Linked DNA regions of Elephas maximus indicus. The protein of the gene in region 2 binds, or shares a complex with, the protein of the main gene of each other region. Links are inferred from orthologs where the notes say so. Each region holds a gene or a part of one and is shown on either strand. Other genes may lie near its edges. The genes, in order: ARPC5 and ARPC3.

Region 1 (9,918 bases), on a different chromosome or scaffold from region 2:
TAAAGAAAATATGGCTGTAGTCAAGTAACCTCTGTTTTTCTATCTGTAAAATGGGAAAAAGTGAGCTAGCTCATCTTTAAGGTTCCTTTCAGCTCTGTTTGCTATAAATTGGCATATAGCTGAGTAACAGGTCCACAGAGTGAGATCTTACAGGGCAGTAACTAGGTCTTTCTTCCCATATTGCTCAGTCTCCTGCTTGCTACCCAACGGATTCCTGGTCATGTTAAGCTGGCCCAGAGATTCAGGGAGGGGAGAAGTTGGAATGTTCCACCCCACTTCAGCAAACTGGCAATGGTGACATTAAAGAGTATCACCACCAACACACATGTGGAAACTCCAAATAAGGAAAATATAAATCACTTTCAGCCAATGAACAAATCAATAACCATAGAAAATAAAGATGACCAAAGACCTACCTCTAAAAAGATCAGCAAGCTCAGATAGTTTTGCAGGTACATTCTGTAACGTTCAACGAACAAGTAGCATGGGAACTTTCTATTACTTGAAACTATTCCAGACCATAAGAAAAACATGTAAATCTTCCCAATTCATTTGACAAAGCTAGACTAACCCCAATATCAAAACCAGATAAAAAAATGAAACTATGAACCAATCTTACTTAAAAACATAGATTCCGAACCATATAAATGAAATATAAGCTAATCAAATCCAGGAAGGAATTAAAAGAATAACATTCAAAAACCAAATAGAGTGTATGCTAGGAATGTGGGAATGTTTCAATGTAGAAAACTATATAATTCATTACATTAATAAATTTAAAGTTTAAAATGATATGACTTTTACCATTAGATACTCACAAAGGCATTTGATAAATTAAGCAGTCATTCCTAAAGATCACAAAGCAATAATAAATATAATATCAACTAGTGAAATACCAAAGATATTTCCATTGAAACAGGAACAAAGCATGGAAGCCTACTTTCACCCAATTTCTCAATACCGTTTTCAAGATTCTACTTAATGTAATAAGAAAAATAAATGAATATAAATATTAGAAAGGAAAATGTAAATTATCATTATTTCAAATAGTTTGATATAACCTTAAAGCAACTATTATTAATAAGCGATCCCAGTAATGGGAAAGAATAAAGGATAAATAAATATTTTTTAAATCAATAGGTTCCCTTTAAATCATCATAAACTAAACCAAAACCCATTGCCGTCAAGTCAATTTCAACTCATAGTGACCCTATAAAAAGACCCTATAGGAGAGAGTAAAACCGCCCTGTGGAGTTTCCAAAGGCTGCTAGTGGATTCAAACTGCCAACCTTTTGCTTAGCAGCTGAGCTTTTAACCATTACGCCACCAGGGCTCCTTATATCCTCATAAACAAAACCAAAAAACCCACTGCCATCAAGTCGATTCCAACTCATAGCAAACCTATAGAACAGAGTAGAACTGCCCGATAGAGTTTCCAAGGAGTGCCTGGCAGATTCAAATTGCTGACCTTTTGGTTAGCAGCCTTAGCTCTTAACCACTATGCCACCAGAGTTTCCTATATCCTCAGGGAATATAAAATTAAATGGAAAAAAAGGCTCATTTACAACAATGTTTCAAAAACAATGTTCACTCTTTCATTCAGCACTATTTATCCTGAGACAAGAGTACGATTTATAGTTTTTTAAATCTTTGCGAAGTATTATTATCTAATTAAAGGCCCTACTGAAAAATATTTCACCCTATCTATTTCAGTGAGTAATCATAAACTTATGTAACGCTAAAAATAATAAGAAAAAACTTGAAATTTTGAAGGTTGGTTGTTTCAGCACAGAAACAGTTGATTTGAGCATGAAGTAGGAGTAAATTAAACCATTATACAGTTTATGGGTAATACGATAAGGATCTTTATATTACAGAAATGTCAATAGGGAATAATGATATTAAATCATCATTACCAGAGCTGAGTTTTACCTTTATTTTATATGTATAATATACATTTGACATATTTGATTAAAATGGAGTATATTTTCATTTCCAATAATAAAATAATAGTGCCATGCTTGCAGGGTTCAATGTCTTGGTTTGTTTTTTTAAGTACTTAGTGGCAATTCTGGGGGAAAACGCACATAGTAGGAGAGTACTTGGTTTTTAAAATGTGAAAAGAAAGACCTATTATAATTTTATCAAAATCCCTTTTAATTAAAAGGATCCTTGTTCTTTGCATCATCACACAAAAAGGAGCTACATGCCAGCATGTAGCATAAACCTTGAGAAAACTCAGATTCAATCTTGCTTTCCTATTGGGCCAACCAGGTTATTTTGCACAATAAAATGTCTTCAGTACACAATGCTGGGGGAAGCCAGCACAACTTGTATGAGGCAAGATCATGTAAGCTCCACAGACACATCAAAACTCCCTGAGGGACCGAATTACTAGGTCGAGGGCTGTTCGGACCACAGTCTTGGGGAACATCTAGCTCAACTGGCATAACATAGTTTATAAAGAAAATGTTCTACATTCTACTTTAGTGAGTGGCGTCTGAGGTCTTAAAAGCTTGTCAGCGACCATCTAAGATACACCACTAGTCTCACTCCATTGGGAGCAAGGGAGAATGAAGAAAACTAAAGACACAGGGAAAGATTAGTCCAAAGGACTAATGGACCACAACTACCACAGCCTCTACCAGGCTGAGCCCAGTATAACTAGATGGTGCCCGGCTACCACCGCTGACTGCTCTGACAGAGATCACAATAGGGGATCCTGGATAGAGCTGTACAAAAATGTAGAACAAAATTCTAACTCACAAAAAAAAGATCAGACTTACTGGCCTGACAAAGACTGGAGAAACCCTGAGAGCAGGGCTCCCGGACACCCTTTTAACTCAGTACTGAAGTCACTTCTGAGGTTCACCCTTCAGCCAAAGATTAGACAGGCCCATAAAACAAACAAGACCAAAGCGGCACACCAGCCCAGGGGCAAGGACTGGAAGGCAAGAGGGGACAGGAGAGCTGGGAATAGGGAGTCCAAAGTCTAGAAGGGAGAGTGTTGACACGTCATGGGGTTGGTAAGTAATGTCACAAAACAATATGTGTACTAACGGTTTAAAGAGAAACTAGTTTGTTCTGTAAACCTTCATCTAAAGCACAAAAAAGAAAAAGTCTTAAAACCTTATGAATAGTTTATGTCAGGGTAAGTACTCATTTAAAATACTAAAATAGGCAGAATCCTAGTACCTAAAATGAATTAACTATTATGGTTAACATTAAGTAACTGAGATAATAATTTTTTAATTAAAAGATAATTAAGAATGAGTTTCTTCCCCCAAAACAGTTTCCCTAAAGCTGTATAACTATTTAACTATTAGCTAGCGGAGCATAGGGAGCAATATTAACGTATCCATTCAAAAATACTCAGTCTCTAAATGCGATCCCTAAAGTTACTTGTCAGATCATAAATTTACTTGATAGAAATTTATTGAGTGCCTGATACACTAGGCACTTAGATCATTGTGAGACAATAAAAAATACTGCATTGGAAAAAGACCTTTTGACATCTGAAATGTAATACACATTTTGGGGCTGAGAATTAATTACATTTAAGACATTCAACACATTCTGAGCAATCAAAACAATTACACCCATGAGCATCCCCAATTTTTTAAAGTCTTCTCACTATTCTCTTAAATTGATTTCTATCAAGGGAGTCTTTCCCAGTTCTAAAATAAGACAAAAAGAAATTTCCTAGATAAGAATACAAAAGAATAGAAACGTAAGAAAAGGAATGAGTTAGGTCTTGAATCTTTGTTCCCATTTGTTCAACAGTGCTTTTAATGCGCAATTTTCTCTTTAAGAAAAATCTTGATTTAAAAGAACAAAAAGTACAGTCTTTAGCATCTCAAGAAGAATATTGTTTAGCTCATACTAAAGTTAGCAAAAGACTGAAACTGAGAAAAAATATTTAAATACATCTACATTCTAAGTTATATAATGCCATTCAACATAGTAATAACCTGATACTTTGAAATATGACATTTTAAAATAAATATTACCAACAGCTAGAAAATTTTCCTTTGCTGTTTTAAGAGAATTCTAGGGGAGTTTGTAATTTGAATGTCAATTTAAGGAAATGTCGCTTTTATCATCTAAATTCTGTCTTCTAGAATGGGCATTTTATTGGGAAAAGAAAAAAGCCACATTGCTTTTTCCTCCCAAGGAAAAAGGATGCATTCCATTCTTGAGGAGTGTCTGTCTGTCTCTCCCTCTTTCTCTCTCTCCTGTCCTCCCTTGTCCTTTCTCTCTCTGTATATATATATGACATAAGGTTTAATTTGACATCTTTCTCTTCTTACTTATTCATTATTCTCAGTGTGATCCTCAACCTGTACTGCCTTTCACACTTCATCCATTCATCAAACATTTATTCAGTACCTTCTGCAGGTAAAGGAAGATGCAAAATAAATATAAGACAGGTCTCTGTCATCCAGAATCTTGCAATCTCTCCGAAGAGCAAGATAAAACATGATATATCATTAAGTAAGCTAGAAGGCTAATGCCAAAGCCAATGGTACAGGTAATAAGCATTTTACATATATGTACAATTTTAGAGCTTCAAAACACTTTTGTGTATTTAAACCTCAGAACAATCTAGTGAAGTAATCATTACTATCCCCATTTTTGCGATAAAGAACCTGAGATTCAGAATTTTAAGTGGCATGCCTCAACCAAACAGATGATGAGTGAAAGAACCAAGACTCAAGCCAGGGTCTTCTGATTCTAAGCCCAGGACTCTTTTCAATACACCACAGGAAAACAAGGATTGGAGTACTCAACAGGGGCAACAGCCAGCCTTCTCCCAGAGGTGGAACTAAACTGGACTCATAGGATGGCAGGAAAATATGAAACCACCTGGGCAATGTCCAACGAAATGTCCAAATTAATTGTATTCTGCAAATATTTGGGCTTATCATTAATTTGTACTTCAGTGTAATACACAGCACAACTACCATGTCCTTAGTGGCTTTACCTCTTATGCTCTCAGATACTAGGATGTCAAATATAATTAAGAAGCTGGTCTAGTGGAGTCATGTAATTCATAAATACAAATCTTAAAGACTGGTTTCTACTAATCCATAAACATTTGGTTTTCCTTCAGCACCAGAGCCTACCTCGCCCCACCTTTCTCTAGCATTCTTGCTCCAACCACTTATTTTAAGATATCAATGATGAATGATCCTACCCCAAATTCTACACGTTCACCCCAGTTTTGCCACCTGACTCCAGCCCTGCCCAGACATCTTCCCCTCCCTCCCGATAGATATGATACCGAGTTTAGGTTCTGCAGGTCCCGTCACGATGCTGTCACCAGCACTGAGAGATAAGATATGACCTTTTGACTCCGTCCTTGGAAGCCTCTGACTGGCCCTGCAGCGTAGTTCTACCCTCGGGGAAAGGGCTCCCAGCTGGGGAATGCACCCCGGGTGGAGCGCGTTCCGAAGCGATGTCTTCGACAACTAGCACGATGCTGGGCACACGGGAGTGCACCACTCCGCCCCATACTCCTGCCAGCTGCAGGGGGCTGGGTCCGGCAACCAGTCCATCCCACCGCACTGGCAAGTCGGGGCCAGCCGGACCTTACGCAGGACTCCAATGACTGCTCAGCGGCGGCGGTAGCGGCAGCAAAAGCCAAAGCCACCCGCCCCCGGTGCCCATAGCCGCCAACCTAGGACCCCCCCGCCACCAGGCTGGACCGCAGAGAAGCGTTTCTATGGGAACCCCCTGGGCACCACGTGATGCACTCGGGCGACCAATCGCCGCTCCCCTCTGTCCGCGGTACGGCTTTCCGCCTTCCCTCTTATCCCGCCCCCGCCCCTTCTCCTGGCCCCACCCCTTTCCTGCAGAGAGTCCGCGTCTGCGCGTGGGGTCCTGCGCGCTCCCTCCCTGGCGCGCCCCTTCCCTGGCGCTTGCTCCCTCCGGCGCGCCCGCTCCCTCCCTGGCGCCCGCTCCCTCCCTGGCGCGCGCTCCCTCCCTGGCGCCCGCGCACCCGCTCCCTCCCTGGCGCGCGCTCCCTCCCGCGCGCCTGCTCCCTCCCGCGCGCCTGCTCCCTCCTTCGCCCGCTCCCTCCCGCGCGCGCTCCCTCCCTGGCGCCCGCTCCCTCCCTGGCGCGCGCTCCCTCCCGCGCGCCCGCTCCCTCCTTCGCCCGCTCCCTCCCCGGCGCCCGCTCCTTCTCCGGCGCGCGCTCCCCGGGAGCGCGGGGGCGGCGTGGGAGGCTAGAGTAGGGCCTGAGGCCGAGGAGGCAGGAGCGGGGCCGGCGCGCAGGCTCAGAACCGGCTGAGCCGCTTCTGCCGGCGACGCCCCTGAGCGGAAGAGGGAAGTGGAGGCGCCAGCCTGCGGGTTCCTGCTGGACTGGGGTTGCTGTAGTAAAGGTAGCACCGAGGGGAGGCCTTTGCCACCGGTGGGGTTTGGGGATGTCGAAGAACACGGTGTCGTCGGCCCGGTTCCGGAAGGTGGACGTGGATGAGTACGACGAGAACAAGTTCGTGGACGAGGAGGACGGGGGCGACGGCCAAGCCGGGCCCGACGAGGGCGAGGTGGACTCCTGCCTGCGACAATATCCTTGCGCTGGCTCCTCCGCCCCCGGCCCCTCTCCCCGGACCCCGCCGCCCTGCAGAGTCCGAGGACCACGGTCTCCTCGCGGGGACGGGCGCGGAGCTGCCGCCTGCGGCCCGCGGTGAGCCTGTCCCATTGGGGTCCCCCACTCTGAGACTCAGAGAGAGGCTCTCCCGGTTCTAACCGAGCCGCCTCGGGACTGCAGGCTCCCGCCCTCGGCGACCTGCCCTTGGCGCGGCGCCTCCCACGCCCCGGTTCCTCAGGTGGCGCGCAGAGTGCCTGCCCCCGGGAGCCCGCTCTGCTGGCCGCGCCCTCGAGGCGCTGGGGCGGCATCTGGCGCTGGGTAGTGCCGCGGCAGGTCAGCTGTTCCTCCCCAGAATGGCGCTTCTGGGTCACGTTAGCCAGAAAGTGCTGATGGCCGGTGTCTGTAGGGGTTTGGGTGGGGAGAAAGGGTGGTAGTGGTTTGTTGGTTTGTTGATTTGTTTCGGGTAACGTTAGCCTAGTTTATTATTTCCGGGAGGATTGGGGTGGTTGGCAGAATTGAAGCCCTGTGTCTTTTCAGCCTGTGAACTTTTTTCTTTTCTTCCGTTTTTTTAAAACGAGAAAAAAACTGGCAAAATACAGGTTGCACAGAATTTGTTAATCGGAGGAGGGAAGTGAGTACAAAAACCTCAAAACTCCCAGAAAGGAAGCTTGAAGCCCTTTACTTGCTAAAAGGACAATACAAAGAAAACGGGGAATGCATGTGCAGAATCCCAAGAAGTACTTCAAATAAACCCCAATAAATAGAAGATAAGTCGTTTGTGTAAAGCAGAATCGCTTTTGTAATCCTGAAATTGTTTCCATTTTAAAGCGTAGCTGTCAGTTCCTGGTTTTGATTTTTGCATGTTTGAATATTCATAACTTGTAATTAACACTTGCATCAGATCTTTTTAGAAAAATGTAGATGTTGCAGTAACAGAAGGTGTAGTTTTAGAGGTTCTCAATGACTGAACTTAATGCTTTTCGAATTTTTCTTGAGCGTATGGGTAAGATAAAGAAAGCTTTTTATACCCTTTCCTCACGATGTCCCATTAAACTTTAAAGGAGAAAATGTATGAATGAAAGTATTTGGTAACAACTGTATCCAGTCTTGGAAACCCTGGTGGCGTAGTGGTCACAGAGTTCTAGTGGTCACAGAGTTCGGCTGCTAACCAAAAGGTCCGCAGTTCGAATTCACCGGGCGCTCCTTGGAAACTGGGGGGCAGCCTACTCTGTCCTATAGAGTCACTATGAATCAGAATCGACTCCAGGGCAACGGGGTTGGTTGTTACTTTTTTTAGTTTTGGTGTATAAAGGCACCTAAAATGCCGCACTTAACATTCAGGAACATATGGATGTTCCATTGGTTTCTGCCCCCTTCACAATCAGCGGTTACTATTTTGCATTATTTAAATTTTGTAAAGGTTTTTGCACCTTAATGAGCCTACAAAAGGCATGCTTCTCTAGAAGTTCATGCAGCCTTGAAAATAAGTTTATACCACCAACTGTATTTGTCAGACCTTTCCCTGCAGAAGATAAGTGGTGACTATTATTCTTTTTTTAAATCATTCTTTGTGATGAATAGATATTTTGTGAGATTAACGTATTTTAGGTGATTTGTAATGACTCTTAAACGGTACCGCTGTATCAATATCAGCGGGGCCTGCTTTTGAATTAGTTCATCTTAAAACATAAAGATATTGTTTCTCCTACCCTTGTGACAACCAAGGGAGACAGCCCTGCCTGCACAGAGGGAGTCAAGCACCAGAGATGGAGGAACAAGTGAACTCTGTGTGGTTTTCCTTATAGGGGAATGACTGTACATTCTAACAGTATGATTGGCCTAGCGTTTCTCGTGTTGGCTTACTCACTGGTGCTTTCATAGAGGGACTGAGTTTAATAAATATAGTCTAAGGCGGTTTGAATAACCTTTATGAAATATGAAAGAAAATACCCAAAACAGAGAATTTAAGCTGCCACCTAAGGGTCATATGAATTATTACACTGTCTGTAATGCCTCTTCTTATCAATACTAAGAGATTATTGGTGTGGGTTTTTATCATTCAGATTACCAGGGTACCCTACCAGCATTTTCGACCAGCATTTTAATTAATACAGAATATAGTTCTAGTAAAAGTTCAGTCTTTTTTTCCCCCCTCAGTTAAAATCGTAAAAAGATGTATTTTGATTGATGACAGGCTGTTTCACTTTGGAATTTAATAATTCTAATATACCTTTTTTAATATACCTTTTAGATTTTCTTTAGTACCACTCTGGATAATGTGCATATGTGTCTCATGGGAGAGTGAAAGGCATTCATTTGACAGTTGAGAACCGAAAAAAAAAAAAACTAAACCCATTGCCATTGAGTAAATTTCAACTCGTAGTGACCCTATAGGGCGGAGTAGAACTGCCCCGTAGGGTTTCCAAGGCTGTATGAGTCTGAATCAACTCAGTGGCAATGGCTTAATCTTTACGGAAGCAGACTGCTGCGTCTTTCTCCTTGGAGCCTTAGAGCTTTCGAACCAGTGACCTTTCAGTTAGCAGCCAAGTGCTTAACCACTGTGCCACCAGGGCTCCTTGATAGTTAAGAACCAAAGGTGAAATAGTCTTAAGGCTAATGTTCTCTTTTGTTTTCAGTATTTTACCTTTGATTGACATCCTTGAAATCAATGGATTGAATTTCCAATATTGAAGAACATCGTGACTGTAGCAATTTTTTCTCTTTGTACATAAACTCAGGTCCTAAAAACCAATGGTTCTTGAAAGTTATAAAGCTTACCTGAGGGCTGCTCTTTGCTGTTATCCCCTTAACTTCCCTCACAGGAAACATGACAGCCGCCCTACAAGCAGCTTTGAAAAACCCCCCTATCAACACCAAGAGTCAGGCGGTGAAGGTGAGTCACAGACAGCAAGATGGTCCTTGCTGACATCTTTATTCATACCAAAAGCATTTGAAGTTTCACAGAATCAACAGATATTTTAATTATTCCCTCTCTTTGACATGAAAGAGCTTATAGTTTAGTTTGCTAAGTTAAAATTTATAAAAAATAACATTTGCGTTGAGTTATGACAGTGCTACATGGTATACACAGTAAGTTCAAAAAGTTCAAATGACAGAGAGGCCACTCCTGTGGGCATTTTTAGAGGAGGCCCCGCAGGTTGAATTTAAACAAAGAATAAGTAAAACATTTACAAAAATAAACACACTGTTTGCATGCTTTTAGAAGATTTATTAAAAATCAAACTAGTACTAAATATTTATTATAGAAAACAGATATGGGGGGATTAAAAAGGTACTGACCCATAATCCCACCACCCAGAGATAGC
Region 2 (10,024 bases):
GTAGTTGCCGTAACCAACAGCACACAGAACTTTCTCCAGAATTTGTTAACTGTTTTAGAGTCAGCATTTAGCTTTAATGCTTAGCTCAGTTTATGATTTTGTAATAGTTGAGAAAATGAACACCAGGATTTTTAACTGTCCTCAGATGCTTATAGAGTCTCTGGGTGGTGTAAAGGGTTAATGCATTGGGCTGATAACTGGAAGGTTGGAGGCTTGAGTCTACCCAGAGGTGCCTCAGAAGAAAGGCCCGGTGATCTGCTTCCAGAAAATCAGCCATTGGAAACCCTATGGAGCACAGTTCTACTCTGACCCACGTGGGGTTGCTGTGAGTCAGAATCAACTTGATGGCAGCTGGTTTGGTTTTTTATTTTAGAAAATGGACTACATGGTCAGAGTCGGTCTTTCCCTAATAAGGTTTTGATAATGTCTGACGGGGCAACAAGGAGCCTTGGTGGAGCAGTGGTTAAGCACTCAGCTGCTAACTGAAAGGTCAGTGGTTGGGACCCACCAGCCACTCCGTGGGAGAAAGATGTAGCAGTCTGCTTCTGTAAAATTTATACCCTTGAAAATCCTGTGGGACAGTTCTGCTCTGTCCTTTACGGTTGCTCTGAGTCGGAATTGACAACAACGGGTTCGTTTTTTTTTGTTTGGTGGGGCAACAGTAGCGAACACAGCTACCTGGCAGCCCCTTCGTCCTGCTACTTGGAACAGTCCTGTGTTTCCCCCTGGGGAAACACCCCCTCCCACAATTCTTAGTCTTGAGGTTTAAGTGGTGCTGGCTTCCGCATTCCAGGGACAGGCACGGGCTAAGGCCAGCTAGTCGGAGCATCGAATGCCTATGACCACAGACAGGCTCGGGGAAGGGCTCCTGACTGACACAGAGCCAGGACTCTGGACTCCGGACTGGTTGAGAGAAAAGCACATTGACCAGAATTTCCACAGTAACAGTAACTGGAGCTGCCATGTGCCGCCTACGTGAGCCTCTGCAACAATCTTAAATATTTATGTCTGATCTCTAAAGGAGTTACACAGCATACTATTAACACGTAGGTTTCGTGTCTAGTGTGACCGGTGCTGAATGTTGACATTTTCCTGGTTTCTTGGTAGAGCGGGGGGTGAGGATAAAGTGGGGAATGTGGCAATATCATGATACAGAGATTTTCACAGAACAGAAGGGCAGAGAGCACAGTCGAGCCTTCTGGGAAATCAAGGTGGGAACATCAGGTCAGAAACGTAGGCCGCCTTCTCAATTTCTCAGCATACGTCTGTATGTCCCTGCTCAAGACACCTGTTCGGTCATGTCCTCAAACAACTTCTGAGTCATTGTGGAGACAACTGCAGCTGTTGCATAACTTCATGTCGCTAGTGTCCAATACCATTTGGCTGCTTTCTCTTTCTCTCTCAGGTCAAACTCTAGGGAGAGTACACCTCTGATGGGCTCAAACAGGCTTTCTTTGGTCAAAGCCGTAGGCGTCAAATTTGCTGACAAATCTGTGGATTGTAACCCCAGGTCAAATGTTTACCCTCATCCAGCCCATGGCCGCTCTTAGGAAAAGCACAGGCAACCCACTGAGATTGGTGGGGCACTGCAGGCTGCCTGGGCAGTGGCTTAATCCAGAAGTAGTTATTGGCAATGGCCAATAAATTAACTGATATGTCTAGTATTCCAGGCCATATGGGGATCTTAGAATTGTTCATGCCCTTTTGAAATTTCCCTTAGTTGGGGAAATCAGATAAATACCCATGAAGCAGCAAGTGTCCAGTTAAGTAATAAGCTAACAGTGTTCTAGTAGGTCAGAGGTCAGAAAAATCAATAATGATTTGCTGATGTTCCCTTTCCAGCTGTCTCCTTTGCCTCTCCCCTCCCCCTCCCACATTTGTAATTGGAAATACAAAAGGTTATAGAGCTCAAATGTAGGTTGAAAATGATGTATCTTGCACAGCTTCAGAGTGGATCTTTCTGAACTCCCCAACTTGCAGATCGATGACTACAGCATGGTGCGGTTCTTACCTTACGACCAGTCAGATGAAGAAAGCATGAACGTTGTATTACAGCATATTGATTTTGCCATTCAGTATGGAGAAGACTTGGAATTTAAAGAACCAAAGGTAATTTCCAAGCTTGGGCTGTTGGATGGCTTTTGGTGGCAATGGTTCCTGACACTCACTGGCCTCCTGCAAAACTCAGGCAACTCAGATTAATTTTTGTCTGAGAGGTGGCGGTGCCCCGGGCTTTCCTAGGTGAGCTCTGAAATTCACACCTGTGCTCAGCAGTCAGATCAGCTTTATTCCCCCTTTTGTTGAGACAACACGATTCAGCTAAGTCTCCTTGTAATCGGAGCTTGGGGGGTTTTGCAAAGACAAGAAGCTATGCTGTTGAGCTTGGGCTGCCCTCTCATACATCAGTGGAAAGACTGATGGTAGTCAGGCTGTTACCTGAGAATCAGTGTGAGTGACTGTAAACTCAAGGGAGAACTGCTTCTAATGACAGATAAGCGCTTTAATTTACCACATACCTGGAAAAATCCTACCAATCATGCCTTTTGTTACTCTTGGCCGTTACCTGTAAGCAACACCCAGAGCTGCTGTTGGGTGTTAGCTCATTAGAGAGTATCAGTGGGAAAATATGTAGATACATACCAGGTCTACCTGAGAGGAAATGAAATGCGTGTTCTGTTTTGTTTCCCTTGGGTCAGGAACATGAAGAGGAGTCATCTTCTATGTTCGATGAATATTTTCGAGAACGCCAGAATGAGTGAAGATTTTACTGAAAATTAACTGTGTACACGTGAAGAGCTTCTGGCTGAACCCACAAGACATTCTTCTCTTTAGAGGATGCAGTAGTAGAAAGCTACGTACTCTAATGGAAAAAAATACTACCGTCATGTACCACGTAACATCCATTCGGGCAACATCCAACTGCATATATGTCCATGGTCATGTAAGATTGTTGTTGGGGTTTTTTTTGAAAGGGGAAGCTGCTCTCCTTTTGTTTGTTACTTTATTTGTTGTAATGGCTTTAAAGACCCCAAACCCCCAGAGTGAATGAGCAGTGGGGTTCCAGGGCGCATCCCAACCCCTGCAGCACCTCGTCTTCCGTCTCCTCCTCTCCTTCCTCTCCTCCTGGCTTCGTTTACCCGTCCAGCAGCTGTGCGTCCATTCACTCCAGGTACAGGGCAGTGCCTGCCACAGCTCCTGCCGCGGTGCTGGCGGGTGGCTGGCGGGGTCTGGAGTGCTTGCAGGCTCCTGGCTCCAGGTGGCTGCACGTGATCAGGAAGCGGCCTCACCAAAACAGCAGTGGCAGCCAGAGCCGCCACCACCAGTCATGCTCCGTGGCATCTACACACCCTGTCCCCACCCCGCACCTGAACGTGCTCAAAGTCCCAATCTGGCTGCTGGTACAGCCCCAGGCCAGCCCACAGCCACATACCTGGCAGGGCCGGCCTCCTGTATCCAGTGAATACAGTTTTCAGGCAAGTCTCGTGGGTAGGTGGCGGCAGAGGCTGCTGGGCCTGGGCTGCTACTGCTCAGGCGATGGAACAGTGGGCGGGCTGGGGCCCATAATCCAGGGCCTGTCTGTGTGTAATGCGGTGTTCACACAGCATCCAAGTCGCATAACAGCCTATTTCACAGAATGTATCATGGTTGTTAAGCAACACGTGACTGTAATTGGCTCTTTGTCCGCAGATGCCTGAATCATGTTCTGAGTTATTCTGCTGCTGTTTAAAGTGGAATCATTTGGTGGTGTTTTAATTCCATCAGTTTAGGTTTTAAAAGTTGAAAAGAGTGTACATAGATTTGTATATAACATAAATTAGCACCTGGACTACATTTAAGACCAGACTAACATTTTTACTGTTTGGTTTCATTTTTGAGGGTTTTGGGGGCAGCGAGAATTACTGTAACAAAATATACACATGTATATATGTCCAAATGAAGAAATCTATGTCCAAATGAAGAAATCTAGAAGGATATAGATAAGGCTTTGCTTCTCTGTATCTTCAGTTTTTCTGCATTGAGAATGTTTTATTTGTACATAGGTAGTCCCCGATTCTTAAAACATGCTGGAGTTAGGACAAACTATACTTGTGACAGTCTGGTTTTTTTGTGTGTCCTATCACATTTTTATCACTGGTACCATGTACTGCATACACTGTTGCAGTGTATAATTGGCTGGTGCTCTCATCCTCAGAAGTTCACTCGCAGATGTTCAAAGGTCAGATTTATAAAGATACTGACAATAAAAGACAATAATAATGAAAACTTAAAAAAAAAAAAAAGAGGTATTGGAGTTACATCAGAATTGACTTCCGATGGACTCGCCTTGAGTCAAGGACTACCTGTAGTTAAAAAATTTAAATAACTATTTAAAAATGTATGCACCCACACACACAAAAGAAACAAAAAGGTAGCACTAGCCCTTCATTACACTCTTGTTTTCCAGTCAGAATTTGGAGCAGTCAGGGCACATTTTTGAATGAGTAGGTTTCACCCTTTTGTCAAAATGCAGGCAGTGATTTTTCTTTTTTTAAACAAAGTTTGTAGCCTGAGCATTTAAAATTTTGTACTTGCCTTGAATAATAACAAATACTAAAATTTTGAAAGATGTAACTTTTTTCTTTTTAATTCTTGCTACACTGAATTATGTAGACCCCTTCGAAAAGCTGCTGTTAGGGATTGAATTGTGTCCCCCAAAGAGCTAGCTAGCTTGAAGTTCTAAGCCCTGGTACCTTTGTCACTTGGAAATAGGGTCTTTGAAGACGTTATGAATTAATATGAGGGCATCCTGGAGTAGGGTGGGCCCTAATCCAATATGAGTGATGTCCTTACAAAAGAGAAGAGACAGACACAGGGCAGAATGCCATGTGGTCATGGATGCAGAAATCGGACTTGTGCTACAGTTGTAAGCAGAATGCTAGGGGCTACCAGAAACTGGGAGAGACAAAGGATCTTCCCCTGGAACCTTCGAACAGAGTGTGGTGCTGCTGACACCCTGAATTCCAATTTATAACCTCCAGAACTGTGAGGGAATAAATTGTTGATTCTGAGCCACTCACTTTGTGATACTTTGTTACAGCAGCACTAGAAGTCTAATAAGGCGCAGTTTGGCCAGAGACCTAGATGAGAAGTCAGCTGTAGGAACATGTGGCAAGTAGAGTGTTCCAGTTTGAAAGGCTGCCAGAAGAAAAGGCTCCAAGGCAGGAAGGAACTTGGCTTACGTGAGGTCCTTTCTAGGAAAGGACTAAAAACTACTGCACTATTCATATGTTCCAGCCATGCAAGTTCAAAGTATTTTGCATGTAATTCATTTAATTGTCAGAAAGCACGGTAGGTACTGTTATTTCCATTTTCAGTTGAGGAAATTGAGGCACAAAGAGGTTAAACCAAACCAAAGGTGTTGCGGTCACATTGATTCTGACTCAGTGACTCCTATAGGACAGAGTTGAGGTGCCGTGTAGGGTTTCCAAGGAGCAGCTGGTGGATTAGAACTGTCAACCTTTTGGTTAGGAGCCAAGCTCTTAAGCAGTGCACCACCGGAGCTCCATAAAAAGAGGCAGCGTGCCCACAGTTATGCAGCTAGTACATGTTAGAGCTGGAATTCAGACTCGGTGCACACTCAAGCTTGAAAGAATAAATGCGTGATTCCCTTCACTTGTTCTCCAGTTTCCTCATTTTTAAGAGTTCGGCTCATTCATTCAGCACATATTTATAGATGTTTACTATATACCATCAGTATTATGGGCCTGGGGAATAAGCAGGGAACCGAAGGGGCAAACCTCCTTCCTGACGCTTCCGTGGTGGGGTGGCACAAACATCGAATGTAAACTAAATAATAGAATATACGAGGAGTATTTTTTTTTATGAGAAAAGGTGGGAAAGAAGGACAGGTAAGGCGGGGTTGGACTGGGATTGAATTTAAAATAGGGCGGCCGGGGGAGGTTTCACTGAAAAGATGGTATTTGAGCAAAAACAGCAGGTCATTGATCACCGAGATCCTGTAACCTTAAGACCCAACTACCTTTCGTGCGCGCCTTATGCACGCACAACGGAGTCCCTGTCTAGTGCTCGGGCGCCCCCTGGCGTCCCTTCGGCTCCCCGCAGCCGCAACAGCCATCTGCGGGACAGAACGCCGGAAGCGCCTCGCCCTCCCCTTCCGGCTCACTTCCGCCTACCCCGCCCGGGCAGCCAGGCCGGAAGCGCGGCGCTCCAGCAGATAGTGCACAGTTGGGTCCAAACTCGGGCGCCGCGAAGATGCCGGTGAGGGGCCGGGCCAGGGGTGTGGGGAGACGGCGGGGGTTGGGGGGAGCGGTGAGCGGTCTTGTGCGCGCAGAGAGGAGCGGGCCGAGGAGGGCGGAGAGGAAGCGGGGGCCTGGGGGAGAGCGGAGGCGAGGAGTGGAGGCCTCGGTGCCGGCTTCGGGGCGGCCGGGGTGTGGGATGCGGGAGCCAGGAGGAGTGGGCCAGAGTCCCGGGCGTGCGGGGAGGCCGCCCCAGCACTTCCCGCCCCTTCGCTCCAATCCTGACCCCCTTCTCGCCCCTTCGGCTCTGCCCCCAAGCCCGGCAGAGTCCCTAAAGGCTCGCTGGAGCCGTAGCCAAGGGCTGGGCTTTTTACTTTTCGTTTTTTCAAGTCCAGGGACCGGCTTCTCCTTTTTCCTTGTCAGGCCCACTTCCTCCTCGGCCTGGGGGCGGTCCCTCTCGCTGCCTGTCATCTTTCAGACCCCACTTCCCGGACTCCTCCCTTGTCGCCTCGGCAGTGGCGTCCACCCCCCAGAACCCGCTCAAGGCCGGCGCCTGATTTACAAATGCTTCCGTTTTCCTGAGCTTCGAAATGGGAGTAAAAATTGATGAAGGTCTGGTTGTCCTTCATTTCTGACAGCCAGGCTACGGGGTTAAATTTATCGCCGTCATGATCGTCACTTTGCAGATAGGAAAGAAGAGGCTCAGTAACGTGTTTATTCATACAGCAAACATTATTGAGTACTTACTGCATGCTGAGCGCTCTTACAGTAGTAAGTCCAACAAACTCCTATTCTACTGAGGAGACGGTGAACGTGTAAACAGATAAAGGAGATCATTTTAGATAGTGACAAGTGCTGTGAAGGAAATAGGCAACAAGACGGTAACTGGTGAAGGGGAGGGCAGACAAAGTCTCTGTATTATGAGAAGGAGCAGGCCATAATTATAGCTATATATGTTATGAATCCTGTTTAGAAAACTCACAAAAACCGGTTACCAGTCGATTCTGTTCTGACTCATGGCGACCCCAGGTGTGTCAGAGTAGACCTGTGTTTCATAGCGTTTTCAATGACTGACTTTTCAGGACTAGTTCACCAGGCCTTTCTTCCTAGGGGCCTTTACGTGAACTCCAACCTCCAGCCCTTGTGTTAGCAGCGAGTGTGTTAACCGTTTGCACCACGCTGGAACTCCGGGAATCGTCTGGCTACCATTTATTGATCCCCGATGCGTGCGGGGCGTGCCCCCCTTTATTAGCTCCCAGAGTACCGTGGGCGTCGCCTGTGATTACTTATTTAACGTCTGTTTTCTCCATTAGCCTGAAAGCTCTCTCAGGGTGGGGACCAGACTGGTTTTGTATGCCACTGTATCACTATAGGGTTGCTGTGAGTCGGAATCGATTCAACAGCAGTGGGTTTGGTTTTTTTTTTTTTTTTTTTTTATCACCGTGCCTTGCACGTAGAACCAAAAAAAACTAAACCCATTGCCGACAAGTCGATGCCAACTCATAGCAACCCAATGGGACAGAGTAGAACTGCCCCCATAGAGTTTCCAAGGAGCGCCTGGTGGATTCAAACTGCCGACCATTCAGTCAGCAGCCGTAGCGCCACACTACTACACCACCAGGGTTTCCTGCATATAGAAGGTGCTTAGTAATTGTTCATGGAATGCATGAATGGGGCCCATGTTGTCTTACTTGTTAGAAGCAAAGCAAAGAATCAGCATGCTGACTGCTCTCAAAAATGTGGCTCTCTTTTTCTTCTTTTAACTCACCCCTACCCACTGAAGGGAAACCCTGGTGGCATAGTGGTTAAGTGCTACGGCTGCTAACCAAAGGGTTGGCAGTTCGAATCTGCCAGGCGCTCCTTGGAAACTCTATGGGGCAGTTCTACTCTGTCCTATAGGGTCACTATGAGTCAGAATCAACTCAACGGCACTGGGTTTGGTTTGGTTACCCACTGAACGTAGTATACCTCTTCTCGTTTTACAAATTGGGAAACAGACTAAGAGAAGAAATGTGACATCTTGGTGAATGACATAAAGCCTGGAAGTGGCAGAGCTGAAAAGCTAGTACTTGGATCCTGGCAAATATTGAACAAGCAGCGATGGGAGACTACCCCTAATTCATATAGTGTTTGCCAATTTCTGTGGTGTAGATACTCTTACCAGCCACCAGTGTGATGTCACTGAACATGGAATTGGGAGAAGATGCACAGTTGCACCCCAGTATATAGTATTTATACCACAAAGATACAAAAGATGTAACTGAGGGCATCAGCAATAATAAAATGTAATAATTAAGAAGTGATCAGTTTAGAGCTTTTTTAAAAACCTACAAAAACCTTTGTTTTAAATACAATTTATTTAATTGTAAGTTTATATAATTTAATTTTTAATAATGGCTGTGTTTAACAACCAGCTTGCAGTATTCCTCAAAATTGGCTCATGAGCTGGTAAGAGCCAGCTCCAGCATACCCCTGCTGCCTTCTTTTTCTCCCCTAGTTAATCTTGGATGGGGTCGCCTTTTTTTTTCGTCTGGTCTCATGACATTTGCACTCTTTCTGCTTCCATATTCTTACCTGGCTTGCCATTACAGGCCTACCACTCTTCTCTCATGGACCCTGACACCAAACTCATTGGAAACATGGCGCTGCTACCTATCAGAAGTCAGTTCAAAGGACCAGCCCCTCGAGAGAGTAAGTCTAAATGCTTTTCCATCCCTTTCAGATTTGGGCGTAGAATGCCTGGCAACCCTCTGACATTATCAGATCAAGGCAGTTCTCGTCTCAGTCCTATGTCTCACGTTGCTCCTATACTTCCTATCCCTTGGCGATGCTGTGTTCTAGGCCTTTCATGATCACTGTTAAATGTGTTGCATCTAGCAGGAAACTGTATAATTGCTGCTGATTTCTCCAGGATATTTGTGGAGAGGGAAGAGGAAATGTGCTTGATCCTGGCCACTGTTCCTGCCTTCACTGTCAGTTCTCTCCGGCTAATGCCGCTGCCTCTGTAGAATGACAGGTCCCCATCCTTTCTTCGTCATCAAGCTTTAAAAAAAAAAAATGACTTCCCTATCTACATTTACTCCCTTTATCCATTCCTCTTTATACCTTTTATAACATTACTCATCTGTACTCTTGCTTTATTTGATATTACGTCTTTGTTTTCTTTCTTGGTACTCTGCCCCTCCCCCCCCTTTTTTTGGTACTCTGCTTTTTGAAACCGATTTTATTGTTCAGAAAGCCCTATTCTTTTTCATATACTATCTGAGACTCTTCTGACGTATTCTGAAATGTCCTGCCAATAGCATAATTTGTATTTTATTAGATAGGATTTCTCTACACCCAGGGCAGAGCCCTGGAGGGTCTGAACTGAGTTCCATTCATGGTTTCCAAGACCGCGGTTATAATACCTGTTTTCTACTGACCCCATCTCCATTCCACTGCCAAACTATTTGACATGACCTTGTCTTAATTTAATTCTTCTTCAACACCAGTTTATTGCTCAGTAAACTTAATAAATTTGGTGAGTCACCACAGTCTTTACTTGATTCCGGATGAAGGAAAAGGAACAGATGGAAAACGACCTGAAAGGGAGAAAAATATGAACGCATTGGAGTGCAGAGAAAAATTAAGAATCAGCGTTGGCTCAGATTCCTTGAAAAGAAGTATACAGATACCATCTGATACATGCGAAGATGTGCTTGACCGAGGGTAGAATAAATCTAATTACTACCTTTGCAGTTCTTTGTCCCTTAAGAGAGAATGAGACCCTCTGAAACCAGATCTTTGTG

The links.
Region 1: ARPC3 (region 2) and ARPC5 share a complex: the UniProt entries of both Homo sapiens proteins name them as parts of the arp2/3 complex. The link is inferred for Elephas maximus indicus from reciprocal best matches to the Homo sapiens genes ARPC3 and ARPC5.

Annotation. Positions count from the first base shown.
Region 1 is NC_064842.1:47,116,739-47,126,656, reverse strand, and holds the start of ARPC5 (actin-related protein 2/3 complex subunit 5), read left to right. Parts: upstream 1-6,181; 5' UTR 6,182-6,425; coding exon 6,426-6,569; intron 6,570-9,413; coding exon 9,414-9,485; intron 9,486-9,918. UniProt on the Homo sapiens protein: Component of the Arp2/3 complex, a multiprotein complex that mediates actin polymerization upon stimulation by nucleation-promoting factor (NPF).
Region 2 is NC_064840.1:9,035,069-9,045,092, reverse strand, and holds the start of ARPC3 (actin-related protein 2/3 complex subunit 3), read left to right. Parts: upstream 1-6,109; 5' UTR 6,110-6,252; coding exon 6,253-6,258; intron 6,259-8,827; coding exon 8,828-8,927; intron 8,928-10,024. Other genes in the region: GPN3 (GPN-loop GTPase 3), read left to right, coding at 1,981-2,109, 2,697-2,759. UniProt on the Homo sapiens protein: Component of the Arp2/3 complex, a multiprotein complex that mediates actin polymerization upon stimulation by nucleation-promoting factor (NPF).